4 linked regions of the Oryctolagus cuniculus genome follow. The protein of the gene in region 4 purifies or fractionates together with the protein of the main gene of each other region. This does not show direct contact. Links are inferred from orthologs where the notes say so. Each region holds a gene or a part of one and is shown on either strand. Other genes may lie near its edges. The genes, in order: NLRP3, WWP2, WWP1 and TXNIP.

Region 1 (7,373 bases), on a different chromosome or scaffold from region 4:
ATCGGCAGGACCCACGTGTGGGACAGCCCCGCAAGCCCCGTCCGGGTGGAGCTGCTCTTCGACGCCGATGAGGAGTGCCTCGAGCCTGTGCGCACGGTGGTGCTCCAGGGGGCAGCGGGCATCGGGAAGACCATCCTGGCCAGGAAGATCATGCTGGACTGGGCTTCAGGGCAGCTCTTCCAGGACAGGTTCGATTACCTGTTCTACATCCACTGCCGGGAGATGAGCCTGGGGATGCACAGGAGCCTGGTGGACCTGATTGCCGGCTGCTGCTCCGACCCCAGCCCCCCTGTGAGCAAGATGTTGCACAGGCCGTCCCGTGTCCTCTTCCTCATGGACGGCTTCGACGAGCTGCAAGGTGCTTTCGATGAGAGCAGCGGGGCGCTGTGCAGTGACTGGAGGGTGGCCGTGCGGGGGGATGTCCTCCTGGGCAGCCTCATCAGGAAGAAGCTGCTCCCCGAGGCCTCACTGCTCATCACCACCAGGCCCGTGGCTCTGGAGAAGCTGCAGCACCTCCTGGACCGCCCCCGCCACGTGGAGGTGCTGGGCTTCTCCGAGGCCCGGCGGAAGGAGTATTTCTTCAAGTACTTCCTGGAGGAGGCGCAGGCCAGGGAGGCCTTCAGCCTCCTCCAGGAGAATGAGGTCCTGCTCAGCATGTGCTGCATCCCACTGGTGTGCTGGATCGTGTGCACAGGGCTGAAGCAGCAGATGCAGGGCGGCAAGCACAGGGCCAAGACCACCACCTCCAAGACCACCACAGCTGTGTACACATTCTTCCTGTCCAGCTTGCTGCAGTCCCGCGGAGGCAGCCAGGAGCAACGCCTCTCTGGCCACCTCCGGGGTCTCTGCTCCTTGGCTGCTGATGGCATCTGGAACCAGAAAATCCTGTTTGAGGAGCGTGACCTGAGGAGGCACGGCCTGCAGGAGGCAGAAGTGTCTGCCTTCCTGAGGATGAGCCTGTTCCAGAAGGAGGTGGACTGCGAGGCCTTCTACAGCTTCGTCCACTTGACCTTCCAGGAGTTCTTTGCCGCCATGTACTATGTGCTGGAGGAGGAGGAGGAGGAGAAGGAGGAGGGGGCAGGCACAGGGAGGAGCCCGCCGGCAAGGGGCTTGGACCTCCCACACCGAGATGTGAGGGTCCTTCTCGAAAACTATGGCAAATTCGAAAAGGGGTATCTGATTTTCGTTGTGCGTTTCCTCTTCGGCCTTGTGAATCAGGAGAGGGCCTCCTACCTGGAGAAGAAGCTGAGCTGCAAGATCTCCCAGCAAGTTCGGCCAGAGCTGCTGCGGTGGATCGAGACAAAAGCCAACGCCAAGAAGCTGCAGATACAGCCAAGCCAGCTGGAGCTGTTCTACTGCCTGTATGAGATGCAGGAGGAGGCCTTTGTGCGGGAGGCCATGGGCCACTTCCCCAGAATCGAGATCAACCTCTCCACCCGCATGGACCACGTGGTGTCCTCTTTCTGCATTGGAAACTGTCACAGCGTAGAATCACTTTCACTGGGGTTTCTGCATAATTCACCCAAGGAGGAAGAAGAGGAGGAGGAGGAAGAGGAGGTGGAAAGTCCACTCTTTGATGTGGGCTGCCCCAACCGCCAGGGCCCTCATGCCGCCTGCTCATGGAGGTAAGCCAGCTCATCTGCAGCCATGGGTAGAGTAAGCGTCTGCTGCTGCACCTTGTTCTTGTACTCACTTCCTCTCCTCTTTTATTTTCTTATATATTTGAAAGGCAGAGAGACAGCTCCCGTCCACTGGTTTACTCCCTAACCTGCAACATCCAAGGCTGGGCTGGAGCTGGAGCCAGGAGTCAGGAACACAATCCAGGTCTCCCATGTGGGTGGTAGGGACCCAGTCACCTGGAGCCATTGCTGCTGCCTTCCCAGGTCTGCACTGGCAGGAAGCTGGAGCCAGGAGCCGGAGAAGGGACTTGAACTCAAGCACTCTGATATGGGATGTGGGCATCTTTTAGATAATTTTTCTTTATGCATTTTCATCTACTTGAAAGGCAGAGATCGTGGGAGAGAGATCTTCCATCTGTTGGTTCACTCTCCAAATGCCTGCAACAGGAGCCAAAGCCAGGAGCCTGGAACTCCTGGTCTCCTGTGTGGGTTGCAGGGACTCAATCCACTACCTCCAGGAAGCATTAACAGGAAGCTGGATGCAGCAACCCAAGCTGCAGCTTCACCCACTGCATGGCTCCCTCCCCATGGGACATGGGTATCTTAACCACTGAGCTAAATGGCTGCTCCTGCTCTCCCTGTTCAGTTGTCTTCCAATCGCAGTTTCCACAGGCACAAAACAATGCCCCCCATCCCTGCCAGATCTCTTCATCGGACCCATTGACTCATGATTGGCAGATAGATGAGATGAGTAAGAAACAACCCCCCGAAAGAGTAAAGCAGTCAGCAAATGTTTGGGGATGCTGGTTTCTCACAGAGGTTAGCTGGGATGTGGGATTTCACACACACTCCAGCCTCTGGTGATCTGCTTGGGGCTCTGTGCCAGGCTCCAGCAGTAAGATCAGGACTGCTGGGCCTACGTAGTGTAGGGCAGAGATGTGGTCTCTGATCACAGAGGCGGGAGTCCAAGACCTAGGGCCATCCGTGTGAGGGCTTCTGAGGGGCAGGCTGTGCAGCTGGCCGCACCGGGTAAGACAGCCCTAGGCCCAGAGTCTCAGGGGAGAGGGACCCGAGCTGCCCTGAGACCTGAGGGCAGTGAGGGGCAGCCCAGGAAGGCGAGAGCTTGGGAGGGTGGGCAGTGCTTTGGGACCTGGGCACCTGGGAACGAGCCTTCCGAGAGAGATCGGGGGACGTGCACCCCTCGCTGGTTTTCAACGCTGTGGATGCTGAGGGGTGCCGGGTGTGGGAAAGCTCAGTCAGGTCGGTCCGTCCCTGCCCCACTGTGGTGAGACGCGAAGGTTCTGGAACCCGCCATCCTAGGCTCGGGGAGGAGCGCCGGGCTCTGCTGCCTGGGTGTTGTGGCTGCCCGCGGTCTGCACTGGGCGCCCAGCGGTAGAAGGCGCCAGTGTGTCAATCTTCACACGAGGCTGGGACAGGACCAAGAGGGAACTGGGTCTTTCTGCCGGCAGTGGTGAGTTCCCGCTCTTTCAGGCTGCCCGGATGCCCTCCGGCCCACCGCGGCCGGGAAGGACCGGGTCCTGCCATGGTGAACGGAGTAGCGTTCAGGGACAGGGATGGGAAGCAGGCCCATTTCCGAGACGGCCAGGAATTCAGACCTGCTGGAGACAGAGCCGACCATGGGGCTGCTCGCTGCCTTGCGCCTGCGCCCAGCCTGAGTGAAGCGTCCGCGTGGTGGTTCCTGGCAGGGGAGGGTGCCGTTCCCACGTGGCGGCCTCCAGCCACGTCCTCACAAAGTGAAGGGCGGGGCATCTCTGGGCTTCCTCTTGCAAAGGCCCTGATCCTGCTCACGAGGGCTCCACCCTCAGCCTCGTCACCCCCAGGAGCCCAGCCCCCAACCACAGCACACAGCACTGTGCTGGGTGAAAGTTTCAACCTAGGACCTCTGGAGACCCCACATTCAGACCAGAGCCCTGGGGAAGGAGAGGTGGGCAGACAGGAAAGGAGGCGGCCCTGGGTCTGTGGGGGAGCAGCCAGGAGCCTGAGCAAGAACTCCCACCCAGAGAAGGCTGGTGGCATCCCCGGAGCAGAAACTCAGCACTGGGTTCTGGTGACAGCAGCCACTCTCGGCCCCTGGACCTCGCTTAGTGGTCCCAGAACCTTCAGGGGGCCTGGTCAGCACAGCAGAATCAACACCCAGTCCTAGATATGGAATCAGACATGCGTGTGAACGAGAGCTGAGGGCGAGTCCAAGTGTCACTGCACAGAGAGCGACCTGGAGTTGGAAAGTCATTGGCAGAAGCCGGCCCTGCTGCAGATTCCAGCCTTGTGCCTGTGACAGCACCTGTGTTGCGGGTGACAGCACCTGCGATGCGGCTGTCAGCCCCGTGGGCTCACTCTCTCTCATTCACAGGAGGACCTGACTCCCTACGTCTCCCATAGTGTCTGGGCTGTGGTCAGGACAGCTGGAGAAAGGGAGCAGAAGGCCCTCTTGATCAGCCAAGCCTCAGGCTGCACTTCCGTCCATCATGAGGTGTCCGCCTGGTCTTCTCATGTCCTCAGCCCCTTCTCCCTCCAGGAATCGCCTTTGGTTCATGACCCCTTTCTTAACCCTAGGAAGTATCCCAGCCCCTGCGCCAGTTTCTATTGTGGAGCCTGATTTCCTTTGCTCTCCTTCCTTCGACCGCTAGATTGGTGAACTCCTGTCTCACGTCCAGCTTTTGCCGGGGCCTCTTCTCAGTTCTAAGTACCAATCCAAGCCTGACAGAACTGGACCTGAGTGACAACAGCCTGGGAGACCCTGGGATGAGGGTCCTGTGTGAAGCGCTCCAGCATCCCGGCTGCAACATTCGCAGACTCTGGTAAGCCCATGGGTGTGCAGTGCTGACAGAGGGGAGACTGGAGAAGGCTCTTAGGGACTGCATCAGGGCGCAGGAACTTCCCACGCTGTCATGGAAACAAAATGCCCCAGGGGTGGTGCTTGGACATTGGACAGCAGAAGCTTATTTCCTCACAGCTCTGGGAGCGGCAAGTCCACGGCCCGTAGGGTTGGTGGCCTCTGAGGTTCGCTCGTGGGCTCCTTGATGCTGTCTTCCCCTGTGTCCTCAGGGGTCATCCCTGTGCATCTGCGTCATGAACTCTTCCTGCATTCCTGTGAATGGGGCCCACACTGAGGACCTTGCTTTGGCTTAACTTCCTCCTTGGAGACCCTGTTTCCAAACCCAGCCATGCTCTGAAGTCAGGGGGGCAAGGGCCTCAGAACAGGAGCAGGGGGAGGCAGAGCAGGTCAGAGGCCAAGTGCTTGGGAGCGTTGGCAGGGGAGAAGGAAGGGCAGCGGGGAGGAGAGCCAGGCCCCGCAGGTTCCCTTTTCTCTGGCCTCCCTCAGAGCCCCAGACTGGAAAGCTTCGCCACACCACAAGGGGACAGGAACTAGAACACACCAAAATGTGATTTTCTCTTTCCTTTAAAAAAAGATTCATTATTTATCTGGAAGCCATGTGCCTCTGTGATACTCTCCATCACCCCCACAAGAGTCCTCCGCAGGTCCCCGGAGGGCAAGGCACAGCAGGAAGTCCAGTGACACTGTGGGGTTTGTGGGACAGAGGAGGCCTCCTTGTCCATTTGCTTGTAGTTGGCCTGGAGGTGGGGTGGGAAGGAAGGAGTGCAGCAAGTGCAGGCCCCGTGGACGCTGGCGTGGGAGGGGCTGTGGTGTCATTCTCGCCCCATGGGGCGCACACATACTGGGGTGTGTGTGGTCACAACACTTTCCCATTGCTACAGCAATGACTGAGGCTGAGCACTTAGGAAGGAAAGGAACTCACTTAGCTCACAGTTTCACTAGTGTGAAATCCAGACAGCACGGCCCTGGCCCTGGGAGAAACACAGTGAGACAGAGAGGGGAGATCGCAGAGGGGGAGTTGGGAATCTGAGTTAGGAGTCCAGTGCACAGACTGAAGTGGCTTGGTCTGTCAGAAGGGCTCACTGTCCTGGGAACTAAGTGGGTTCCACAAGAGCTACCTTAGTCCCTTCTGAGGGCCACTCCACGGTGACCTCACCTTCCCCTGTAGACTCTACTCTTAAAGGTGCCTCCACTTCTTAAGGGCACCAGGATTTCCACATATGAACCTTGGGAAAAACAAACCGAGGCCTCTGACAAGTCCCTCATCACCAGCGACGGCTCCTTAAGTTTCTGCTGCAGGGCACTTTAAGTGAGGTGGAGCACAGTGCGATGAGGGCAAGAAGTAGCTGGGCACAACCCCACCAGGGGCATGGTGCGGGCCTGGGCCTGGGTAGCTCCGGGGTGGGTCGTGGTGTACCTGGTGCTCTTTGCTGCCAGGCCATCACGCAGGGGTGCTCTCCATGCTCATGATCCCAGGCTGGGAGCTGCTGAACTGTGCTCGTGAGCTCGCTGGTCAGGTGATGCGCCCTTGAGAGAGCAGGGTGTGCCACCCTATGTGGGTGGCAGGGACCCAAACGCTGCCTGGTACTAACGCTGACGCTTTGTGCTTGGCGCCAAGGCTGGGCCGCTGTGGCCTCTCCCACCAGTGCTGCTTCGACATCTCACTGGTCCTGAGTGGCAGCCAGAAGCTGGTGGAGCTGGACCTGAGTGACAACGCCCTGGGAGACTTTGGGGTCAGGCTGCTGTGTGTGGGGCTGAGGCACCTGTCCTGCCAGCTGCAGAAGCTCTGGTGAGTCTGCACCACCAGGTGCCCGGGTCTCTGGGTCTCAGTCTGCTGTCCCTGTGCCAGGGAAAGACAGAAATAGAGTAATACCTGCCTTTCCGGTGGGTGGAGCCTGGCTGAACAGTGCTGGGCAGGTTGCTGCTTTATGGGAGAGTTGGAACCACCCCCAGGTCCTCTGCACACACACAGAGTGCCCCATGCTGGGGTGCTGCCCTTCTAATGCTTCTGAGAGGCCAGAACCTTTAAAGTTTATTTATAAATAAATAAAGACAGGAGAGGGAGAGAGAGAGAGGTAGAAGGAGGGGGAGAGGGAGAGGTAGGGGGAGAGGGAGAGGGAGAAGGAGAGGGAGACGGAGGGGGGAAGAGAGAGAGAGAGGAAGGAAGGAAGGAAGGAAGGAAGGAAGGAAGGAAGGAGAGAGAGAGAAAGAAAGAAAGAAAAAGAAAGAAAGAGAAAAAAGAAAAAAAAAGAAAGAAAGATCTTCCACTCATTGGTTCATTCCCCCAAATGCCTGAAGCAGCTAGGCTGGGCCAGGCTGAAGCCAGGAGACAAAACTACACAGGGATCTCCTATGTGGGTGGCAGGGACCCAAGTATTTCAGCCATCACTGCTGCTTCTCAGGGTGTGCATTAGCAGGAAGCTAGAATCAGATGCAGAGGCAGGACTCAAACCTAAGTATTCTATGTGGGGTCTGGACATCCAAGTCTTGTCTTAACTGCTGTGCCAGCTATCTGCCTGAGACTGGAATTTCAAGGAGAAGACAGTATTGGAAAGGGCCAATTTCCACCCATTGGGATGACTTTCATAAAATAAATGCAGACTCACAAGAAACCAACAAGTGTTGGTAAGGATGTAGGGAAACTGTGCACTGTGGGGGAGGCATGAAGCAGTGCAGCCATGGTGGGCACAGCATGGCAGGTCCTCCCACAGGAGAGCATGGCCATTGTCCAGCAATCCCACTTCTAGGTCAGTGCACACCAGAACTGGAAGCCGAGACACATATCTGTATCCCCACACCTACAGTGGCACCAACAGTGGCTAGGAGGTAGAAGAAACCCAGCTGTGCCTTGATGTATGTAAGAAGTGGCACCCATGTCCTGTGGCTTTAAAAGGCAT
Region 2 (7,373 bases), on a different chromosome or scaffold from region 4:
TTTTTTTTTTTTTTAACAAGACTTTTGTGAGGAGCAGATGCCACCTACGGCCTGCTGCACCCCCCACAAAGCACTAACGTGGAAACGCGTAGTTGGTGTTTTTATTTTTATCCATTTATTTTTAACCAGTGGCTTTTTTTAACCTCTGTGTTCTGCTGTTTCTTGTGTTTAGTCTTCAAGCGCTTCGATTGACCATGATCCCCTGGGCCCCCTCCCTCCTGGCTGGGGTAAGTACGGAGCTCAGTGCCTGGACGCTGGCCGCCACTCTGGCCTCTTCTCCCGCGTGGCTCCCTCCCTCCCTCCCGTGCCTCGCTTGCCCGTTCGCTTCTCTGCAGCCCACTCTAGGGATGCACAGCCAGGGCGGCGGCCCGTGGTGGACCTGGGAGGCTGCGATGGAAATTGAGCTCCCCCAGGCCACCGTGGCGTTTACCTGGCACAGCTGTAGGAGAGTGAACCCAAGACGGGCGCACCCGACCTGCTGTGGGGCCGCGCGCCAGGCTCTTGAGTTTCAAGGTGTCTACTCAGTAATCCGTCCTGTCACTCAGAGATTTTGACTCTGATTCCCAAACGGGTTTGTTTCGGCTGGGACCGTACGGTTGGCAGGAGCTACCCTAATAACCCTTGTTTGCAGCTGAGATGTCGGAGGGCTGCAGCTCGCTTTGAGTAGCGGAAGCCTTTTTGTCTGTGGCACGCAGTGAAGAGGCCGCAGGGAAGCAGATGAGGGAGCAGAACCCTCTGAAAGTGCACCACTGCGAGTTGCGGTGCCAGGCCGGGGGCTCCTGCCGCTGCGGCCACCTCTTAGAGTCCCGGTCCCAGGTGCCTAGGTGCCACCCGCCCACGGTGCTTGAAGGGGCTGGCACTCGTGACTCAGGAGAGATCGTGGTCTTTATGGCTGTCCTGAGAAGAGGCGGCGTGTACGCGGGGGCCATCAGAGGTGGTGAGACGTGGCACAGCCTGCAGCTCTGAGCCGGGCCGGGATTTTGTTGTTGTTCAATCTTGCAAGAGCCCCTGGGAGCCAGAGGGCAGTTTTCAAAGGACTCAGCATGTGCTGGGTTTGATTTATTGGTTGGGCCAGGAGAAGACAGGAGACGTTGGCTTGCTGGTGTTCATAGGCGGCATGAGCCTAGCTGGAGCATCTCTGAGCAGCAGAGGTGGGGAAGTGTGTGAGCTGAGGATGGATTGACGGGCACAGCCTGGGGAAGCACGCGATCTCGGAGCAGAAGCCGCTGCTCCCGGTAGGAACTGAAGACGTTGTGTCAGCCCCCGTGGACCTGCTGGGTGTCAGGTGGTGAATTGCCACTGCATTCCAAAGTGCTCAAGGGACCTTCTTGTTCTTCCAGTGCAAAATATCAGCTCTTGAGGCTTCTACACGCTTCTGGACTTCTGTCTAGGGAATCCCTATGCACATAGTTGGCCTTGCCTGGCTTCTCGGGCCCACAAGAGCCCGTAGGTACCTTGGAGATTAGTAGTAAGTCAGATGTAAAAGGGTAAACACTTGGGATCGCTACCTAAACCAGCCATGGGGAAAGCGTGCCGGGTTAAACAAGAATCCGTTATGCCATTTGGTAGTCGGTGACCTAAAACTGGGGGACTGGAGTTTGTTTCTGATTCTGTAGAAGCAGGTAGTGTAGCCCGGTCAAGTGAGTTTATTTCGGTGCCAGTTCTGAACGATGGTCACCAAGTGAGAGCCACTAAAGAGTCTGGAAAACAACTCCCAGATGCTCAGAGGGAAAATATTTGAGATGAGAATAGGGAAGCCATAAGCCGAATCACTGCTGTTTGCCAGCGATCGGAAAAGACCCATAAGACTGTACTGGTGCACAGCCGGGAAACAGAACTCTTTGCCCAAAGGCCGGGGGCTTTCCTCTGTGTTGCTTCCCCAGGGCTGTGGGGGAGGCCGCCTCCCCAGGGATGGGAAAGGACGAGCAGGAAGGGCAGCGGGGCCAAAGGAGCCGGCACTGGTGGCGAGCATGCTGTCGGTCTGCCGGCGTTCCTCCGGCACTCAGCTCCTGGGACCCATGGTTGTCCCAGGCACTGCCGTGGGAGCTGGGATGCCTCAGGTTTAGATCCGTCTGCTGCTGCTCGCTCGTGGCTAAATCCGCCCCGGCCCGCCTGCTCCTGAAAGTGAGGTTGAGCTCGGCACTCTCTGGAGACTGCCCCAGCTCCCGCAGGCAGCTCTGTGGGCCAGGAGAGGTGTCATGGCAGCATTTGTGCAGTGCCAGGAAAACGGCCCAGGGCTTGGACAGCCGGGCCAGACCCCCGCTAGGCTCCACTCAGTCCTCAGCAGAGCGGCCCTAGGGCGTACAGTTCGGAGCAGGGGCTCCCGGGCGGGCAGGACCCTCTCGGGCAGCTTCCCCTGCAGGTCAGTTGCACGCCGCCTCGGCAGCTCTGCCGCAGCTCCCTGCACCTCCTGTGCTTCCTTGCCTGTTTTTATTTTTATGTTACTTGTTTTTCCAGCTTTATTAGAGTGTGATTGATAAATAGTGCTTGTGCTTGGGACATTCTAGTTGAGTAGGAGAGAGCAGATAAGGCAAAGAGGGATCAGCCCTTGGCTTGGCGCTGGGACCATTGCAGCCCGATTCTTGAGTGGGGGCTGCTGGTCCCCCGCGTGTGCCCCTTAGCTTCTGGGGAGGGAGGATTGTCCGACTTCTTCCCTCGCGTTTCACTGTGAAAGGGGCAGAACCATCCACATCCCTTGTTTTCAGGATGGAAACAGATTTGAAACCCAGGACTTTCCTGGAAAGGTGACCACCTTTGGGTCTGGGGCCTTGGCCCCTCGTTTTCTCTCCCACTTGCCTGGAGTGGATGGATTACCCGCCTGCGCCAGCCTCGGGGTGGGGCAGGGCCTGGGGCTGAGGGCGTCCCTGCTGCCACAGCTGGATGCAATTATGCCTGGATTCAGCCGGCTGCCCCCTCTGTGTCGCCACACCGCCCCCCTTCCTCTGACAAAGCAAACAACCAGAGAGGTGCGGGATTCTTCCCCTTGCAGTGTGTGTGTCCGTGCCCCTGCCCCAACCCCAACCAGGGAAGGACCATTCTGTGCTGTCTCCCAGTGGCCGGGTCCGCTTCTCCAGCAGGCTGGTGTCGGACAGGAAAGCAGACGCAGCACCCAGGAGCCGGGGCTGCGGGATGGCCCCAGCTCAAGCTGCTGGATTTTAATTGTTCCCTCTCTTTTCTTCTCCCATGGCAGAGAAGAGACAGGACAATGGCCGGGTGTATTACGTGAACCATAATACACGCACGACCCAGTGGGAAGACCCTCGGACCCAGGGGTAAGGGTTTTGGGAGTGAAGGGGGCTGGGCTGGGCCTGTGTGCAGCTCCAGCATTGGCCAAGTGGCCTTGGACCACTTTGTCCTGCAGGGCTCCTGCTGGGGACCTTTAGCCACACACATCTCCCCATCTAGTGTCAGCCTCTGAGAGCTTGGAAGTGGTCCCTGAAGTAGACCTTTCCGCTGGCGGTTGTCGCTGGTCTGTATGCCGCTGGTACTGGCTGCTGAGAACTTGATCACAAAGAGGTTGTGGGTACGTCCATCCAGCACTGCCAACGTGCAGGGCCTGGGCACTCAGCCACCGCCGTCCACCCGGGGCTGGATTTTTGGCCTTGGGATAGAAGATGGCTTCTTTACACCCATGACTTGGATCATGCCAAGTGCATATCCTAAATCCCCCTTGTACCCCCAAGGGCTGTGTAGCACTGGGTGAAAGCAGAGACAAAGCAGCACTTGGGAGACCCCGGCCTCCTGTGCACTGGGGCCCGGAATGCGGGGCCTGGCCTTCACCCCGTCCCTCCTGTTTGCAGGATGATCCAGGAGCCGGCACTGCCGCCGGGCTGGGAGATGAAGTATACCAGCGAGGGCGTGCGGTACTTCGTGGACCACAACACCCGCACCACCACCTTTAAGGATCCTCGGCCAGGGTTTGAGTCGGGGTAAGGATGTCAGGACGCCCAGCAGTGTCCCGTCAACGCGGGCTCCGGGAGGCCCACTGCTGGACGGAGTGGGGACCCCTAGACGTGCTCTGCTGCTTACTGCCCCCTAGCGGCCAGTGCTGATGGCAAGCTGAAGGCCGCGGGCAGCAAGGGCTCTCCCCGCCTTTGGCTGCCTGGTGTTTGTCAGAGCAGGACTCTGTCGTCGTTTCTGGATTCTGTTTTTTGGCTTTTCAGAGGCCTCACTGGCAGTCCCTTCTCTCCTATTCCTTACTCCTCGCCTTTAAGTTAACACGGCATCAGCTTTGCTGGGCTAATGGAGACAGGTCGCTCAGTTCCCGAGAGCTCACCTGGCTTCCGGAACACCTTTCCTTTCCAGGACGAAGCAAGGCTCCCCTGGTGCCTACGACCGAAGCTTCCGGTGGAAGTATCACCAGTTCCGCTTCCTCTGCCACGTGAGTTGTGCTCCCGGGACTCCCGCGGCAGGTGGGGGCATCGAGTCACTTCAGCCTCCTTCCCCAGCCCAGCGTGGGCACAGGACTGCGCGTGTGCCACCACAGCTGGTTGTCCCCACGGGGCCAGGCTCTCACGTGACAGCCTCGGGGCCGGGCCGCCTACCCTGGCAGGTGCGCACCAGGTAGGCCGGTCACCCGGAGGCCTCAGTGTGCGGCGTTCTCTTCTCTTCCCAGTCCAATGCCCTGCCCAGCCACGTGAAGATCAGCGTCTCCAGGCAGACCCTTTTTGAGGATTCTTTCCAGCAGGTTAGAGAATCAGCCCGGTGCCCAGGTTATGACCATGAGCCTGGGGGCCGTGTCTGTGGAGGGGGCGGGCCTGAGATCCCTCCTACCCCTTCCTGCCGTGGAAGGGTGAGTGGCAGGCGGGCCACGATGCTCTGTCTCCCCAGATCATGAACATGAAGCCCTACGACCTGCGCCGCCGGCTCTACATCATCATGCGTGGCGAGGAGGGCCTGGACTACGGAGGCATCGCCAGGTGAGCTCAGGCGTCGCCGCCGCCCCGGCTGCCAGCCCGCGGCTTCCCTCGTTCAGATTCATTGCCACGGTGGGTGTGGGGTGACAAACATCTAATCCCCAAGGCTGGTCCAGATGGGCGCTGGGTGAAGCTGGGTCCTGGAGTCCCTGCTGGGCCGGGTGTTAACACTTTGCATATCGGGTCCTGAGGAGGCTGGGGGGCTCAGGGCAGGGGCTCAGGGCAGGGGCTCTCTTAGGAACCAGTGTGACCTTGCTTCTATACGTTACCCATCAGCGCAGCAGTGTCAGTGGGCAGTGGCTGAGCCCTGGGGCCATGGCACTGTCACCCTCTGACCCCAGGCTTCACTTCCTCCTGAGGCACCAGGGCAGGTGCTGTCAGTCGTCCTGATGGGCGTGCCTGGGGGATGAGCCGTGTCACACTCGCACTCACAGGGCCTCGCTGGCTCCTCAGCTGCATGTCACGTGCCTGGAGTCGCCGAACGTTGCCACAGTGTTGCTTGGCCGCAGCCTGTGCACCACAGAGTCCCCAGGCCCTCTGGGCAGAGGCTGCCTGGGACAGTGAGGCGGAGGGGCCCTGGCAGAGAGGAGGAGCGTCCCGGTGGCGGTGCGCTCTCGGCCCGCTGACCTCTCCCGGTGCGGGGATGTCTTCGCTTGGTGTTGGGTTCCTCGGTTCTGCGCCCCTGTTCGCTGCTGGCGTTGCCTTCTGCATCGGCCCCCGCGGACGGACTGCTCTTTCTCCTGTGGTGACCTCTCTCCAGGCTCTGCTTGGTGGGCTTCTGGTGTGGCTCCTGCCTGTGTCTCTCTCTCTGTGTCCTGCCAGTGGTTTTACCCTATGGTAGGTTACGTCATGCTGTTCTACCACAGGGTAGAACCACGGACAGGATACTGGGGCACCCTCTGCGTCGAAGGACTCCTCGTCTGCCCAGCCACATCCGCCCAGCAGCCAGGGACCGGCCCCCCGGGATGGCCCCTGCCAGCATAGCCCAAGCCCAGGAGGACTCAGAACTCTGGCTTGAGGCTTGTACCTAGGATGCGAATAGATGCCAAAGCGTGGGTGTTGGGTCTCACGAGAGCGCGGTGTGGGGAAGGGAACGGTGAGGGGTCTGGAGTGCGGGAAGGGCGGAGTGCACGGGTGGTGAGCTGCTGCCGGGGCTGGGGTCTGCAGGCTGGAGGCAGCAGGGTTGCAGGGTCTGCACGGTCAGGGCGTGGGAACATGTTACCACGTAGTCAGCCGCGTTCTGCTGCCTGCCCGGCGAGGGAGGGCAACAGGTGGCTGCTGTTCACATGGCACCTTTGCAGGAAGATTGTCCTAAAATGCGGCCATCTATGATACTCTCATATAGTGCCCTTGTGCAGTGCACAGCTCACACAACTGTGCCCGGTGGCCCAGGGTACAAGCTCTGAATGCTGGCATGTAAAGTCCTGGCGTGCATTACCCGGGAGCTGCCAAGCCCACGGGCAGGTCTTCCTGGGCATCCTCCTCAAGTGCGCACTGTCCTGGCTCCCATAGCTCTACGCCTTCGGCTCACCTAGGTCTGTGCCATCCAGCTTTGTGCCCTGCTGTTCACTTCAGTTCTCCCGGCTCTGGTCACGTGTTTGCGGCCTTTCTGATCCACGACAGCAGAGTCAGCGCGTCTGTGCAGGAGCCCAGGACAGATGCGTTATTCTTATTTCCTCCTTCCCTCACAGAGAGTGGTTTTTCCTCCTGTCCCACGAGGTGCTCAACCCGATGTATTGTCTGTTTGAATACGCTGGGAAGAACAACTACTGCCTGCAGATCAACCCCGCCTCCTCCATCAACCCTGACCACCTCACCTACTTCCGCTTTATTGGCAGGTTCATTGCCATGGTAAGCAGGGCACCCTGGTCCCAGGACCTTCCTCCTCCTGCTCAGGGGCCCCAGGCGTCCGGACAGGGCGGCCCCTGAGGAGGCTGGCCCCTGTGTGCGGGCGGAAGTGCAGCACTCCCAGCAGCCTCCTGTCCTGGCCTGAGCCCTCTCCTCACAGGCCTAACAATAAGATGCAGATGACTGGGGGGGGGGGGGGGCCTCTGGAGAAACCCGGCTTTCTCAGAGGCCCGCAGGGTGCTGAAGGGTTTCCTGTGCTGATCGCGTAGGACTGGAGCTTCACTGAGCGTAAAGGCCCGCTGCAGAGGGCACCGCGGCCTGTGTCCATCAGGAGCCCTGGGCGGGAGTGGTTGGGGAAGGCCGGCCCCACCGCTCAGGCCTTCTGGATGGGGCTGGCGGGCAGCGCTAGCTCAGAATAGAGCCCCGGTGGACCAGCTGCTGTGAGCCTCAGAAGGATCCCTGAGAGACAGGCGAACAGCGTGGGGGCCCTGCTCTGCCTTTATCCAGAAACGGGGCACAGCGTGAACATGGAGGGGTCCGCCGTGTGCCCCGTGCTGAGCGTCTGTGTGAGAGCGCAGACCCCAGAGGGAGGAGCGGGCACCCGCGGAG
Region 3 (7,864 bases), on a different chromosome or scaffold from region 4:
ATTCTTTCCCGATTGCCCCTCTTCCAGGCCAGCTCTCTGCTGTGGCCCAGGAAGGCAGTGGAGGATGGCCCAGGTGCTTGGGCCCTGCACCCCATGGGAGACCAGGAGAAGCACCTGGCTCCTGCCATCGGATCAGCGGGGTGCGCCGGCCGCAGCGCGCCAGCCGTGGCGGCCATTGGAGGGTGAACCAACGGCAAAAGGAAGACCTTTCTCTCTGTCTCTCTCTCTCACTGTCCACTCTGCCTGTCAAAAAAAAAAAAAAATACATAAAATGCTATGCTAATGAAGGAAATAGTCTCTTAATGCCAGCAAAGAGTGAAATTCAGCTGTGAATGTGTTTCTGTCAGACAAGTTTTTCTTCATTAAACATTAGTAACTAGTTCTTTGGACACTAGTACAAGGTTAATTTATCAGGTTTTCCACTGCTAATTATCACATAATATTTTTCTGCAGAGTTAAACAGACCAGTCTTCCCAATAACTAGGGAATCAAAGTTTCCAGAACTATAACAGACAACAAACAATAACATGCCGTGGTTTCCTACCAGAGAGACAAAACAGTTACAAAAATGTCAACTGTTCACTTATCAAAATGTGCTTTAACCATAATAGTAAGAGACAGCTACTTAATCCTTTTTTAAAAATTACTGAATAGGAATTCTCATTTCATTTGTTCTGTAAAGTTTCCATTTTCAATTGCTTCGGGCTTCCTGAATGATTGAAAGGAGTATTCATAAGTAAGGCATATAGGAACAGAAAGATTAGAAAGTCCTTAAAGTTTATTTCATTTACATCACCTCCCTCTCCCTTCCCAAGCTGAGAGATATCAGGACAATAGTTATCAAGATGATCAGTGTGCTAATGCTACCTGCTCTCCCTCCACCAATTCATTCCTCAGACCTACCAGCTTTCAGGCAAAGAGAAAACAAGCGTACAGATATTACAATGAAAATCTAAGACTAAAGAATCTAAAAATGTTCAGAGCTGGAAGGGTCATTTCCTGGGATCAATTAGTCCTTACTGATGAGGTCACTTAAAGCAGTAAGTATTTCCAAGTAATGGTAAATTTGCTGTACTATCTGAATACAAGAAAGAAAACCATCTTTGTCACCCCACTCCTGATTCCACTTCACCCACCAGCAACTCTAAGGCAAATCATTTATACTCTTGGCTACTTTGTTCTATAAAATAACAAGAGACAGTATAAAATCTCTGCAAACTGTCAACCACAACACAAGCATAACACTATGTCTCTAGGTTTATACACAGTTTATCTCTACAGTAGGTCTTCTTTTCAGTGAATGGAAGAATCTGAAGCTTCTGCTATTTTAAAAAGCTCCCAGAAGCCCCCAGCCCAACTGACTGGCCAAGGGGGTTTCATGAATGAGCTTCAGGTGGTCCATGGACTCCCCTAAAATTATATCCATAAGGCATACAAGAGTACTTCAAAAATAAAATTAAAAATAATGTGAAGTAGGTGCTTGGCCTACTACTTAAGCCATCAGTTAGGACACCCACATCCCATATCACAGTGCCTGGGTTCAAGTCCCAGCTCCACTCTGATTTCAGTTCTGTTAATGCCTCTGGGAGGCAGCAGGTGATGGCTCAAGTGGCTGGGTCCCTACCACCTCCATAGGGGACCTGGATTAAATTCCTGACTCCCAGTTTCCACCTGGCCCAGCCTGCAGCTGCAAACATTGGGGAAATGAACCAGCAACTGAGAGCGGTGTCTCTCAAAAGAAATTAAAAATAAATGCACATTTTCCAAACTCTTTGAAGAGTCCTCACTGTGCCTCTGGAAGTCTTCCAGGCTAGCAGCTTTTTTAGTTAGGATTAATAAACAGCAAAAAGTTGTAAAGTAACTCACAAACACTGAGGGTCAAGTCTACAAGGATCTTGCTCAAAATGGTCCTATTCCTCCAATCTACCTGGATCCCTCTCAAATTCTGGCTATTCTATTTCCTTTTTCCTTTCCAATCCTATTACCAAAACAGCTTAGAGCCTCCCCACCTACAATTAAGACAATCAGGAAGTGTTCCTACTTCCAGGATCTCTAGTCCTCCACTCATACAAGCTGCTACCAGATTAAGCCTCTTAAAACAATAGTCTAAAATTGTTTCACTCCCAACTTAAAAATTATCTTCGGAGCCCTCAATGCTTAGGAAATTCAAGGTCATTAGCATGGCATTAAAAACAATCCACAACTAGTCCCAAGCCTTTACCAAAGCTTTATCACCCTTTATCCTAGTACAAAAACTCTGTGTTCCATTTAACCATAATTACGTGCCTCTTCCCAGATGTATGAACTTGGTGCCCTCTCAGATTCTTCTCTTTGCTTGGATTATCTTTCCCTGTCTATCCAATGTCAGTCATTCTTCAAAACTAAGATTTAGAAAGCCAGAAGTTCTCCTAACTAACTGCACCTTTCCAGAGGATCGCAACTCTACCACTTCTGAATTTAAATTCTGGTTGGATTTTTGTATCATTATGAAACTTTACTATATATTAAAAGACAAACGGGGCATTTGTGTGTATTATTCGCAGGACTGGGGACAGAAATTGTTAATTATTCTTTGTATTCCCCAAAATACCTCATGCAGTAGATGCTAAATAACTGTGCAAGGAAGGAAAAGAAATGTCAATCGTCCTGGGGTAAACAGCAAAGATTACAATCTCTTTGAAGGCAGAGACCTTATCTATGACATCCTCTATCATGTTAGTCTTCCAAAAAACAAGCATTGTAAGGACTGCTTTTCAAAACGATGGTGTTGTGGGTCTTACAAGCAGTTCTTCACTTTATGGGAAAAACACTTTGAAATGTTTGTAAGCTATGTTCCAAAGAACTATTCCACACATTTCACACTTTTCAGTTCAAGTAGCTCCCAACTCTTGGCCACTAACATCTTCAACTTAAAAATATTAACTATTTATGAAAAATAATAATTTCCAGTAACACAATATACTGCTTTATGGCTAAAAACAAGTCACATAAATAAAAGAATGCCTTTATTTTTTAAAACCTGATTTTTTGCTTGCATAATACACAGACTTGATGAGACAGGTAAAAATGGATTTAAACATAAGCATGAACTCTTGTAGAAACCTGCAGACAGCTATAAACCAGGTGTTTCAGGTAAAAATATTAAAGAGGAGAGGGGGAAGAAAGATAACTTCGGACATTAGCTTTTGCTACTATGACCATTAGCATCTTAAAGCAAAAACTCCAATCTTTATGCATATGAGCCTACACACAAAAAAGATTAAAATCTTTCCAAATAAAAAAAGGAAAACTAAAGCAAGCCCTTACAAAATATTCTGTCTTTAAGGAGTAAAAACATCAAATTTATACATAGATAACTACTGTTTTTTTGGTGTGTGTTTTTTGTTTTTGCTTTTTGGAAACGAAGCTCTCACGTAATTACCGGAGCAAAAGAAAGTCAACTCCACATCCACGGAGTAAAGAAAAGCTCTGCACAGTCCTTGTGCATATGAGGCTGGCAATTTAAATGTTGTAAAAGCAATGGACAAAGTATCAATTTAAATTTACCACCACCACTACCACCCCTCAAAAAAAAAAAAAAAGATTAAAGAAGGGGATTGAAGTCACACGTGAGGCTGGGACTGGCAAAATCTGCAAGGTCACTGAGATCTACCAGGTCACAAAAGGTAGAGGTGGGGGTTGTGTTGGGGGGGGGGGTGGCTGCGGAATCAGTGGAAAAGCCAGATTTAAAAAAAAAAAAAAAAGCACGTCAGAAAGAGACGTTCTGAGACTGGAGTCCTTGGTTTGGGACGGCGGAAGGGGGTGAAAGTCAGGGCACGGGCAGGGAGTCCGTGCTTTGAGGGAGGTGTGAGGCAGAAACGTAGAAGCAGCAGACGAGAAGGCGAAGGGAACGGGGAACTGCGGCTGCAGAGTCACGGAAACACTTCGCCCCGCTCCAGGATCATTCGCCCAGGCCTGTGCCAGGGCCAACTCCGGGCAAGACCCGTGACCCAAGCCCAGAAAACTCCAGGCCCCCCGGGCTGGAGAAGGCAGACACGGCGGCGCGAACTGTCCCCCGACGGCCCCGAGAGAGAGAGAGAGAGAGAGAGAGAGAGAGTCCCGCCCGGGGGCGGTCGGCGCCGGACTCCCCACACCGCGGCCGAGGCTCCGGGCCCGCGCCCCGCGCCCCCCGCCCCGGCGTCCTTACCCTGCGCGAAGCTGCCGGCGCCCGGCAGCGGACGGCCACAGCTGCGGCGCCTCCTCCCGCGGCGGGCGCCCTCAACCTTCCGCGCCTAAGATCGCCATCTCGCAGCAGGCGCGGCGGCGGCGGCGGCAGCGGCAGCGGCAGCCACCCAGGCGTCGGCCCCGGCAGCCCAGGCCGCCTGCAGCCACTCGAAACCCGCACGCCGCGTTTGCCGACACCCGACCCTCCCCCCACCCCCACCCCGGCCACGCGCCACCCCCGAGTCGACCCCACACCTCCCTTCCTCGGGAGCACGCCGCGTGCCCGCGTCACCGGCGCCGCGCCCAGAGCGCGCGCCCCCTCCACCCGCCCGGGCACCGCGCTACGCAGCGGCCACCTAAAGACTCCAACTCCGGAGCCGGAATCCGGCGGATTTGCGAGCATGCGCAGCAAGGGCACCCCCGCCGCCTTTAGAAGGGCCACTCCTCCGGGTCTTCTGAGCGATCGACTCGTGTGGGGGGGCGGGGGCGGGCCAGCCAATAGGGGAAGGGGGCGTGGCCTGGACCTGTGAAAGGGGTGGGGCTTCCGCAGAGGTTTGGGAAGAGGCTTTAAGCCAGTGCTAGGTACTGCTGACTTGACTTTCCGGTACTCGGCCCAACCTGCGCGTGACCTCAAGCAGGCTCCTTAGGGCACTGGCGTCCTTTTTTACGAACGCCTTACAGCGAAAGCAGGCTGTTAATAAAGTCTGCTTGACCTAGCTGAGTGCTTGACTTAGAGCCCGTTGCCAAAGTACATGCATTTAGAAGATAGACATACCAGAAGACTTGCAATTTCTGTATATTGGTAATCAAAACGTTCACAACCCACCCCTGCCCACGTCAGCCCAGTGATAAAGCTAATACATGTTGAACAAGAGTATGTGTCAGCGCAATTAGTCCCCATAACAGTCTCATCAGGTAGCGTCTATTATTTCCATCATTCACGCCGAGTCAGCCTGTTTAGGGAAGTGCCCGTGTATTGCTTTTAGAAGGCCGAGCAAATACAAGTGAGTAAGGGCCACATTACTCATGCATGAATTTCTCGAGTGTTTGCCCAAACACCTCACCTACCCCAACAAATTACCTACGTCCACACTCTCAGAGGCTTGGTGTCCCTGCTACTCTCCCAAGCGAACCTGCGCTCTGCTCCCTCTCGGGACCCTTCCTGGCACTTCTCTAACCTCACCTGTTAGCATAACCATGTTTTAAGACTTTTCTCACCTAAACTTTCCATTGACTTTAAAACTCCCTTCCTGCTCTCTCTTCTTTTGTCACAACAGAGCTTTTCGTAGAGTGGCAGTGTCATTGTTGATGCCACTCCACGAATATTTGTGGGATCCAATAAATACCTCCTGGTGGGACACATGCACATTTCCTTCCACTCCGGGGCAGGAGTGCTGACCTCTGCCTTCACACCTGAATTTGGTCCCCATTGAATCCCCGAAGATCATTCTGAATGCCCGTCTGAGCTCGTCGCTCACCCCGCTGCTTCATTCTTTGGCTCTTCCTAGCTTTCCTGAGGAAGGTTACCGCGATAGTCAAGCCCCTTTTCATGCTCATATACTCTGTTCCTCCTCTTAGGAAAAACTCCTTCCGCTTCCCTGAATGTACTCACTCATCTCTGTGCTTTAACCACGATGTCCTCTGATTTGCCCTCTTCGTTTTGCGTAACAGTCCCTTTAAATAGATGTCACCACGAATTTGCAACTCACCGCCCCCCCCCCCACCCGCCAACCCACCCAGCAATTCCCTAAGAATTCCCAGCAAGATCTGCCCTCCTCCAGAGTGCATGCTGGCTTCCTTCTGCTTCCTGCTCTTCTCTGTCTCACGTTCAGCTCCCCCAGTTGCTCAGTTTCCCACTCAGCTTGTTTCTGTACAGAAGCGCCTAGAGTTCATCTAGCCCACTAAATTGATACCCAGTAGTGAACCATTTTTCTTTCATTATGGAATGTTCCTTTGGTTTCCAATGCACACTGTTATATATATATATATATATATATATATATATGTTTTCCCAAGTCATTATCTATGTCCTTATTTGTTGTCATAGGTTACTTCTTACAAAGTGATTGAAAATATGAACAAGTTTAGTCCTTTTGTAACTAATTGACAAGTTGACTTCTAGGAAGAGCATGTGTCCAAATGTCACATTACCTGTGATCAAAACAGCTCTGCCAACCTAACTTTCAGGACCCGGGGCACTTTTACCTTTGTGGGCCTCTTCCTCCATGAAATAATATTGTAAATTATATTAATATTACAAGTTGTGCTTCCGCACTGCTTTGGTATAAAGACAATTATATTACTATTACACATTAACATATTTTCTTTGACCTAAACGTTTATATTTTTTTATCTCCTAGTTTTAATAGAAATTAGAATTTTTTTATGGGCTGTGCAAGTATTGTGAGCCTGTGGCACTGTGCCTGCTAGGCTTAATGGATAAGCCAACCCTGTTGTCGCCTACAAACTATGAGATTAGCCCAAGTTACTTAATCTGATTATACCTCAGCTAGAAAATTGATATAATACTGCCACATGATATTGTAAAAAAAAAAAAAGAGGCTTGCTATAAGTAAAATACTTGAGTTACATAACATATATTGAAGATACATTAATCAATAAATTACTATTGTTATAATTGTTGACATCAGTTTTCCCACAGAACCATAAATGTGCTTCCTCATTGTGCCCAAGTCATTATGGTATATTTTCAAATGTGTAAACAATATTGGTCAGTTAGCTGCCCATTTTCTTATCAGAAGATTCACAAAATGGCACATTATAAAAATGTAGACATTGACCATAGGTGAAACTGTAGGTCTTCTCCGCTTTTGTTTTCTGTTTTATTTCACATATCTTTTCCCATCCTGAGATCATAATTTATCTGCCTTTACTTTTGCCCTACTTGTTTGACAATTCCCTTTTTTCAATAAATAATTTAATTATTTAGGATTTATTTTGGACTGTTGTTCTATCTTTTCTCTTCATAGCTCGTGGTATTGTATTTCCCAGCCAACTTATTAAAGAATCTTTCTGTATCTGTAGTTGCTATAAAATATCTCCATAAATGTGTTGCTATTCTCCTCCTCACAAAGTGGGACCTAATTCTCTCCCTAGAGGGTGTGGGCTATAGTTAGAGATTTGCCTCTAACAGACAGAATGTGGCAGAAGTGTCAGTGTGTCACTTCCAAGACAAGCCGGAAATAAGTCTTTGTGGATCCTCCCGATTCTCAGATCATTAGCAGCTGAGATGTGGCAAGGACACGTCAAGCAGCCCTGTGCAGAGGCCCACACAGCACGGAACTGAGACATCCTGCCAACAACCAGCAGGATTTGAGGCCTCCTGCCAATCACCATACGATTGACACATCTAACAGATCCTTCAGTCCAGGCCAACCCTTCAGATAATTGCATCTGACTGCAGCCTCATCAGACACCTTGAACGAGAACCACTCAGCTAAATCACTCACACTCCTGACTCGCGGTGACTGTAAGATAATAAATCTTTTTTAAGTCATTACATTTTGCAGATTATTTTTTAAAGATTTATTTATTTGAAAGGCAGTTACAGAGAGAGGAGAGGCAGAGAGAGAGAGAGAGAGAGAGGTCTTCCATCCGATGGTTCACTCCCCAATTGGCTGCAACCAAGAGCTTCTTCCGG
Region 4 (8,173 bases):
AAGCACCTGGGCCATCCTCCACTGCACTCCCTGGCCACAGCAGAGGGCTGGCCTGGAAGAGGGGCAACCAGGACAGAATCCGGCGCCCCAACCGGGACTAGAACCCGGTGTGCCGGCGCCGCTAGGCGGAGGATTAGCCTAGTGAGCCGCGGCGCCGGCCAAAATCATAGTCTCTTAATGAGCTTAGGTGGATAAAAATGTCCCCAATGGACTTTTTTTTAAGTACTTGGCCACTCACTTGCCCCAAGAGACTCTAGTATTCCACTCTTCGGTTGTCCCTGAATACTTGAGGCAGCAACTTCCTAGCAGTTAAACAAGACAACAAACAGGATATATCCAAAACGTGTTTATTGGGAAGGTTTCCCACTCATCTTGGCGCAGGGTGCATGGCTGAAAACCATGATGATTTTACAGCATCCTGGGCACTTCACGTCCATGAAGTAGGAATCGGGGCTCTGCACCAGGCGCTTCTTCTTGTGTTTCCTCTTCTCCTCTTCAGGAGAGGGATGCAGGAGATCCTTTGCGAGAGGCATGTTCGCATGGGTCGGTCGTCACCGCCGGAAAGTAACACATTCTTATTTATCTATGACTTGGATCTACATACGAGGTACATCAAAAATTCATGGAAAATTGAAATAAAACACAAATTTATCTTGAAGCAAACAGTTTTGGAATCTATGCTTACCACACAGGCAGTTTTAAAATTTCACACTCTCATTCAAACCCTTGTTTACCACTAAACCATTTCTTAAGGAAAAATTGGGAGAGTTGGATAAAAGTAAAAGGAAAGATTACAGACTGGAGGTGGCAGAAATGATTAAAAGGATGAAGAAAAGCGTTTGTTTGCCTCAGGAGCTGTACAGCTGTTGAGCTCTGAATGTTTGTCAGGCTAGAGGTTAAAAAAAGGAGAAATGCAATCAGAGCCTTGCCCCTGGCTGGCAATGCAGTGCTGAGGGCATTTCCTTCCCTCTGTGAGCGCTCTGGCTCTAGTCTATGATCTACAGTAAAGCAAATAAACAATCACCAGTTGGCTTCCTATTGGCACTAGGGTGCGGAGGGGTGGAGATGGGCAGGTAAGGATGATCTAACTTGAAAAACTCCCGGATAGAGCCCTACTTTACTGATCTTCCTGGGCCTATCCTTTTTTTCTCATAAAACACAAGTGTTTGTACCCTGGTTTCAGAACAGGAGTTTACAAGATTTTTTTTCTTCCTTTGACCCAAGAACTAAGGAAAAAAGAATGGGGGAGCAGGTTTTTTATCAGAATACCGAGTTATAAGGTGAAAGGTTGTAAACAACTCTGTCCAGGAGGCCTCCATTTCAGAACATGCCTTGGCTCCAGGCCTGGTAGTGCTGCGGCTGCTGCTGCTGCTGCGGCCGCTGCTGCCAAAACAGTCTCTTGGCATTCAAGGGAACTTGGGCACAACACAGAGCAAACAAGTGGTCTGTACTGAGCTCTGCAAAATGGGAAGACTGAAGAAACTGGAGCCTCAGAGAAACAGAACGAGAGAGACTTGCCATAGGATTTTTAACATTTAACAATTCAGACCTTATACACATGTCCTTATAAATACATTATCAGCATTCCCTTGTCTCTAATATGTACCAATTCAATACCATTCTGATCCATTACTAAAATCTTTCCCTCCTCCTATTCCCTCATAATTTATGTGTTTACATATTGTAAATATACCAATGTTGAGTCATCTGTTTCGTTGTAATCAATGTTTCATATTTATATATACTTTCATACTGAACTAAAAGTACTCCAGGAAGCCACAATTTTTAACTTTCAAAATTTAGAGTCTCAACTACTCTGTCCCCAGTAACTCAGTCAACAGTGTTGACCAACTCAAAACAAATCAAGCCTAGTTGGTTAACTTTCTAGAACAGGGCGCCACCTCAAACCCACACACCCTAAGGATCAACATGTTCCTGGGGTTTGATACAGTATGTGTATGTGTGTTTCAACACAGTTTTCATGTCTGACTCTTGAGCTTGCTTAATACTGGGGTTGAGTTGTAACTTGCTAGCCTCAGGGTGTCAACCCAATTAAGGTGTATGAGGAAGGAACAGCAGTGAATAGCGTTCTTTTTGCTGAAAGGGTAGGATTTCTACACACTCACGGGCTTCTTATTTACTTCCTCGTCTAAAGCTTGGGGACATTATCTTCCTCTTTCCAGCCTAAGAAATGAGGTAACGTTCTCGTGACATCCCAACAGATATATGAGGGTTCTGTGAATCAAAGAAAAGAGAACTCCAGTTCTGCATACAAGTTGTTGTTATCACATTTAAGAACAAGTTCTCAGGAGTTAGCTCCCAAGGCATTTTACATTTAGCAGGGAAAACCCCACCTGACAGCCAACTGAAATCAACACAAAATGAAATTGGGGCTCCCTTTAGCTTGCCCTGTGCCCTGTGACCACCCTTCTTTCTCTTTCTCTTCTGATTTCCAAAAGCTTGCGAGGGTGAGGGATGAGGGGAACCACTTAAAACACAGGAAATTGTTCCTTCCAACAGGGGTATGGCTAGCTCTACACCGACACTTCTATTATGGCGATCTTTCTTGCTTTTCACCAGCGTGAGCGCTGCGTGGGGCAACAGATTTATGGAGGTGCCTTTGATTTCGTAGGCTGGAGGAGTAGATGAAGAGCAGAGCGAAAGTAGCTTATGAAGAAAGGGAAGCGTGAAGCATCCTTTCTTTCCCCCATTTTATTTTTCTTTCCTGGAGAAGCAGGGAGGGAGAGTTTATCAGAGACTGATGGCCATACCTCATTAGACCGGTAATGAGGTAAGCAGGGAACACAAAGTGTTCCCCGACCCTGCAGGTAGAAACTGAGGAGACGAGGGGATAAGCAACAGGATGTGCACACGCCCTGTTTCCGTTCCAGAGAACAGAGAGAACAGAAAGGAGGGTACACGCGACCAGGAACAGCCTAGCCCACGGTCCTAGAGCCCCCCGGGGCGGGAGAGGGTCGGAGCGGGCACCTCCCACCCATACACCGACGTCCAGAAGAGACTGAAGAGGGATCAGAATTAGTGACTTTTCGTCAGAGACAGCAGCTTTTGTTTTTTCATTAAAGATGCGGCGCCAAGAGGAGAGAGGGGGACTTTCTGAACAGTAGTAACAGCCGCACTCTCTGCCCTCTGTCCCAATCCTTAGGTATTCCTGGAGCAAAGGGATTCATTTTCACAGACTTGCGACTTGGGCGCCAGGAGTAAACACTCGCCTCTAAATTAACTGCACTGGCTAAGACTAGGCATGAAATTCCCTCATAAGCACTTTTTCCTTTTACCACAAAAAGCCGCGGCCAGACCAGAAGCGTCCACACCCGCCCTCCAAAGCCCACTTGCCCTACTAGGCTTCAGGGCAATAGGGACCCTCCTCCCAGCCGGCCCGAGAGAAACCGCTAGGACGCCCACCACCCTCTCAGCCCCCCTCGCTCCTCCGCCCCCTCCTCCCTGCGCCGCCGCGCCGCCGTGCACAACAACCATTTTCCCCGCCAGGAGCACACCGTGTCCACGCGCCGCTGTGAGCTCTCTGATTGGGCAGGCTCCTGGTAAACAAGGACAGGCAACCAATGAGAGCGCTGTGCACGAGGGCAGCACGAGCTCCTAGGCCGGCGCTCGCGTGGCTCCGCCAGCCCCACAACTATATAGAGCGGTTTCCGGCTCGCGGTAGAAACCTTTCTCTGCTCTTTTCACATGGGGTGCTGTTAGCCTCCCCGGCGAGAGCGCTCCTCCAGCTGTTAGGGAAAAATAAGAAAAGAACTTGGTTTTTTTTTTTTGAAATCTCTTGGCAGCTTAGAAAATTCTGGACACCTTTTCTAAAATTTAATTAAGATTCATCTGTTGCTTGTGTTTTATTTTGTGTTTAAACACAGCCTGCCTAAGGACACTCTTATTCCTTAGGAGGAGTGAAATAACTTACTGCAAAGAAGTTTGGATTTGGGGCTGTGGGTACCCCGTGCCTCATTTTTGACTTGGGCGTCAACTCTGCCCCATCATGGTGATGTTCAAGAAGATCAAGTCTTTTGAGGTGGTCTTCAACGACCCCGAGAAAGTGTATGGCAGTGGGGAGAAGGTGGCCGGCCGGGTGATAGTGGAGGTGTGCGAAGTCACTCGGGTCAAAGCCGTCAGGATCCTGGCTTGCGGAGTGGCTAAAGTCCTCTGGATGCAGGGGTCCCAGCAGTGCAAACAGAGCTTGGACTACCTGCGCTACGAAGACACCCTCCTCCTGGAGGACCAGCCCACAGGTAAGCGGCCTGGCTCCTCGCTGGAGGTTAGAGGCTGGTTGTGGAAGAGAATTGAGTAAGTGGAGCAGATACGTAATGTTTTAAGTTCCTTGATTTGGTTTGGTTTAGTTTTTTGTTTTGTTTTGGGAACACCCCCCACACCCTCCAGAAAGGGTGGTCTGTACAGTTTTGGGGGGATTCTGTGCTGTGGAGGTGATAGGGAGGGTATTCCCCCCCATGTTTAAAGATGTCTGTGTGCATAAATTGCTTATTCTTGGCTTGCTTGCTGTTGGACATGTTAGTAGGGTAACTGTCCTGCCTCTCTACATTGGAGGACTTTGCAACAAAATGCATCAGTCTCTCATTGAAGAATACAAGGGATGAAAATGGGAGTACTAAGATACCTTGCATGCTGCCTGAATGTCCCTTATCACACAGGTGCATTTTAGTGTAACATAAAACCTAATGGTTCCTTGCTTTTCTCTCTCTCCAGGTGAGAATGAGATGGTGATCATGAGACCTGGAAACAAATATGAGTACAAGTTCGGCTTTGAGCTTCCCGAAGGGTAGGCATTAGCTACATGCATCTTTGGGCTCTTCTAACAATCTCCCCCTCCTCTGATATCTTAACTGTTCTTGGGGAGCTTTTTAAAAATAATTGTTTACTTTTTCCTGACACAGGCCCCTGGGAACATCCTTCAAAGGAAAATATGGTTGTGTAGACTACTGGGTGAAGGCTTTTCTTGATCGCCCCAGCCAGCCAACTCAAGAAACAAAGAAACGCTTTGAAGTGATGGACCTTGTGGATGTCAATACCCCGGATTTAATGGTGAGGCTCATTTTAAGAGTCAGTTCTCTTGGGTCACAGGAGTGGTACCTAATTATATTAGGTGTTCTATTGAGGCATCTTAAAACAGCTTTTTCCCTCCCCTTCTCCATAGGCACCTGTGTCTGCTAAAAAGGAGAAGAAAGTTTCCTGCATGTTCATTCCTGATGGGCGAGTGTCTGTCTCTGCTCGAATTGACAGAAAAGGATTCTGTGAAGGTAAAAACCTAATACTCAGAATGGGTAGAAGAGTACAACAGAAATGTGGGTGTGGCTGCAGGACATGGGATGGGACAGAGGAAGCATCTGAGATGGTGCTGAGGATCAGTTGATAATGTTGCCTTCCTTCTCGTGGCTAGGTGATGACATTTCCATCCACGCTGATTTTGAGAATACATGTTCCCGCATCGTGGTCCCCAAAGCGGCCATCGTGGCCCGCCACACTTACCTTGCCAATGGCCAGACGAAGGTGCTGACTGAGAAGTTGTCATCAGTCAGAGGCAATCATATCATCTCAGGGACATGTGCATCATGGCGTGGCAAGAGCCTTCGGGTGCAGAAAATCAGGCCTTCCATCCTGGGCTGCAACATCCTTCGAGTGGAATATTCCTTACTGGTGAGTAGGGTGGCTCCTGATGATGTGCTCCAGCAGTCATGTGTTCCCTAGACCTCTTGTCTAATAAACGGTCATCTTCCTTTTAGATCTACATTAGTGTCCCTGGCTCCAAAAAAGTCGTCCTTGACTTACCGCTGGTCATAGGGAGCAGGTCAGGTCTGAGCAGCCGGACGTCCAGCATGGCCAGCCGAACCAGCTCTGAAATGAGTTGGATAGATTTGAACATCCCAGATACCCCAGAAGGTGAGCAAACTCCAGTGTCTTCTCCTCCCCTCTGCTCTGCTTGGGTTTGTAAAATGGCTGTCACCCAGTGTTATTTTTGGTCAGGCTGCTTACCCCCCTGTTTCTTTTTTCTAGCACCCCCTTGCTATATGGATGTTATTCCTGAAGATCACCGTTTGGAGAGTCCCACCACTCCTCTGCTGGATGATGTGGATGGCGCTCAAGACAGTCCTATTTTCATGTATGCTCCTGAGTTCAAGTTCATGCCACCACCCACTTACACAGAGGTGAGAACTGTCATTTGTACTGTTCATTTGTTCTGAGGCCTCTGTAGGAAATTGACTTGGAGTGTTACACAGGTTCTTTATAGTTCTTACACATACTGAAATGATCTCTTCTTTCTTGCTCCCAGGTGGATCCCTGCATCCTCAACAACAATGTGCAGTGAACACGTGGAAGAAGAGCAGCTGTACCCACTTGTTTCTTTCTGCCTCTCTTCCTGGACTGGTTTTTCAGAGACTTAGTCTCTGCACTGGGGTGTGGGTCCTCCCCAGCCTCTGACCTCCTAATGTAGGAGGTGATCAGCAGGCAGTCTCTTGGGCCTTAAAGGTGCAGACTCGTCGTCAGCCAGCACAATGTAATACAGGAGTGTTTGCTGGGTGGGTTCGAAAAGACAGTTCCGAGTGATTCAGGCCCAGCCTGTTTTCTCAGCTGTTCTTGAGGCATTTCACTAATTGAGTCAGGGATGTAAATGGCCTTTTGGTGAGGTCTTCCCAAGGTGGTTTTGGGAGAGACAATAGTTCGTTGTAACAACATGAGACCTTGAACTAACGTGCCATGTGAGATGGAGTCATTTTTTTAGCAAAGTGGCAAAATGAAAAGAATCATGGCCAAAACTTTGGGAAGAGGAGGTTCTTAAAATCAGTGTTTCCCTTTTTCCTTTAATGGGAAATAAAGAAAAACCCTGCAAGGCTGGTTTGGTTTGAGCTTTGGAGAGAACTTCCCTGTGAATTAAAAGAAGCTGCTGTAAGGTTATCTTTGCTTAGAATGTACTTTTACCTGGCTTAAAGCAGTAGTAACTATGCTCCACCAAAGGTCTTAAAAGCCATTTTTAGAGCCTATTGCACTGTGACTCCTATGGAAACATTTTCTTATAGGAGAATGTTTTTCTTTTTATGTGACTCCTTGGAATTGATTCTAAGGTGATACTCTTAGCACTTTAGTTCTGTCAAACATTTTTTTTCTTCTCATTGCAAATTAAGCTACAACTGATCTATGTCTCTAGGGATAAGCACAATGGCCAAAAAAAAAAAAAAAAAAAAAAGTTAGAGACTGTGTCCCAGTGTACAGAATGACATGATTCTGACACTCTAATCCTATGAAAAGGTTGCTGTTTTATAAAACCTTGCCCACTGTGACTCTCCAAACCTAAGGTGGAACTCTGTATCAGAGGGCCTCCAGACACTGCCATGAGAAACTGGAGGGCAAGTCTTCACTCAGGTCCTCTGCACCCTTAGCGTTTGGTCAGTCCGCATCAGCCATAGCACTTTGTTCGCTGTCCTGTGTCAGAGCACTGAGCGCCACCCTTTTCTGAGAAATACAGCCAGAAAGTATGTGAGCTGAAGGTGTTTTCACTTTGTGTTTTTGTATTTTAATTGTGTATCTTTTTGTATGATAAAATCTATATTTTGTATGTAACCAAATATATTTTTCACCCCAGGTGGGGCATTTGTAAAAAATAAAAAATTTTTAATGGCAAAAAAGTGTTTTTCTTCTTGTCTGTGATTCAGCATTGGAGCAGTTCTTAGAAGGCATCCTGAAACAACTTTCCCCCACTTCACAAAAAACTCCCCCAAAACTTGTGGAGAGAACACTCGCTGTTGATCCTGAAGTCTGGGGGGGCTTGGGGATGTGAAGAGAGAAGGAATTTGAACAAGTCTGGTCTTCCCAATTTACAAAGAACTGTAATGGGAACTGCTGGTGGGCTAAGCTAGTTGACGCATCCGTAGCTAATCATTACTCAGTTCATGAATTGCTGAAATTCGGGGATACAAGGTTTATGAGGAGATTGGGAAGGAAAGGGTCGAGGTTTTTCTTTTTCATAACGGTTTCATCATAGGGTTTCTTCCCAGTATAAACCTGGTATACTTAGTTTATGTACTGACAAGAATAACTAAGACTTCTAAGAGCTTACTTAGAAGTATCAAAATCGTTGGAAGCAGCTACTTTTTTTTTTTTTTAATTTCTGTAGTTTGTAGCCTGGTTTCTGGCCAAG

The links.
Region 1: the proteins of TXNIP (region 4) and NLRP3 purify together in Homo sapiens (affinity purification with western blotting, with the first as the bait; 4 studies listed by BioGRID). This does not show direct contact. The link is inferred for Oryctolagus cuniculus from reciprocal best matches to the Homo sapiens genes TXNIP and NLRP3.
Region 2: the proteins of TXNIP (region 4) and WWP2 purify together in Homo sapiens (affinity purification with mass spectrometry; 3 studies listed by BioGRID and IntAct, with this or other methods). This does not show direct contact. The link is inferred for Oryctolagus cuniculus from reciprocal best matches to the Homo sapiens genes TXNIP and WWP2.
Region 3: the proteins of TXNIP (region 4) and WWP1 purify together in Homo sapiens (affinity purification with mass spectrometry; 4 studies listed by BioGRID and IntAct, counting the BioPlex papers as one, with this or other methods). This does not show direct contact. The link is inferred for Oryctolagus cuniculus from reciprocal best matches to the Homo sapiens genes TXNIP and WWP1.

The regions. Positions count from the first base shown.
Region 1 is NC_091437.1:1,748,983-1,756,355, forward strand, and holds part of NLRP3 (NACHT, LRR and PYD domains-containing protein 3), read left to right. Parts: coding exon 1-1,625; intron 1,626-4,267; coding exon 4,268-4,438; intron 4,439-6,094; coding exon 6,095-6,265; intron 6,266-7,373. UniProt on the Homo sapiens protein: Sensor component of the NLRP3 inflammasome, which mediates inflammasome activation in response to defects in membrane integrity, leading to secretion of inflammatory cytokines IL1B and IL18 and pyroptosis.
Region 2 is NC_091449.1:53,023,173-53,030,545, forward strand, and holds part of WWP2 (NEDD4-like E3 ubiquitin-protein ligase WWP2), read left to right. Parts: intron 1-172; coding exon 173-227; intron 228-3,190; coding exon 3,191-3,272; intron 3,273-3,800; coding exon 3,801-3,929; intron 3,930-4,305; coding exon 4,306-4,381; intron 4,382-4,615; coding exon 4,616-4,687; intron 4,688-4,830; coding exon 4,831-4,919; intron 4,920-5,735; exon of another isoform or gene 5,736-5,797; intron 5,798-6,607; coding exon 6,608-6,767; intron 6,768-7,373. UniProt on the Homo sapiens protein: E3 ubiquitin-protein ligase which accepts ubiquitin from an E2 ubiquitin-conjugating enzyme in the form of a thioester and then directly transfers the ubiquitin to targeted substrates.
Region 3 is NC_091437.1:111,620,252-111,628,115, reverse strand, and holds the start of WWP1 (NEDD4-like E3 ubiquitin-protein ligase WWP1), read right to left. Parts: upstream 4,564-7,864; 5' UTR 4,187-4,563; intron 1-4,186. UniProt on the Homo sapiens protein: E3 ubiquitin-protein ligase which accepts ubiquitin from an E2 ubiquitin-conjugating enzyme in the form of a thioester and then directly transfers the ubiquitin to targeted substrates.
Region 4 is NC_091438.1:48,894,555-48,902,727, forward strand, and holds TXNIP (thioredoxin-interacting protein), read left to right. Parts: upstream 1-4,006; coding exon 4,007-4,256; exon of another isoform or gene 4,257-4,728; coding exon 4,729-4,801; exon of another isoform or gene 4,802-4,916; coding exon 4,917-5,064; exon of another isoform or gene 5,065-5,176; coding exon 5,177-5,279; exon of another isoform or gene 5,280-5,419; coding exon 5,420-5,676; exon of another isoform or gene 5,677-5,762; coding exon 5,763-5,919; exon of another isoform or gene 5,920-6,033; coding exon 6,034-6,185; exon of another isoform or gene 6,186-6,310; coding exon 6,311-6,346; 3' UTR 6,347-7,661; downstream 7,662-8,173. UniProt on the Homo sapiens protein: May act as an oxidative stress mediator by inhibiting thioredoxin activity or by limiting its bioavailability.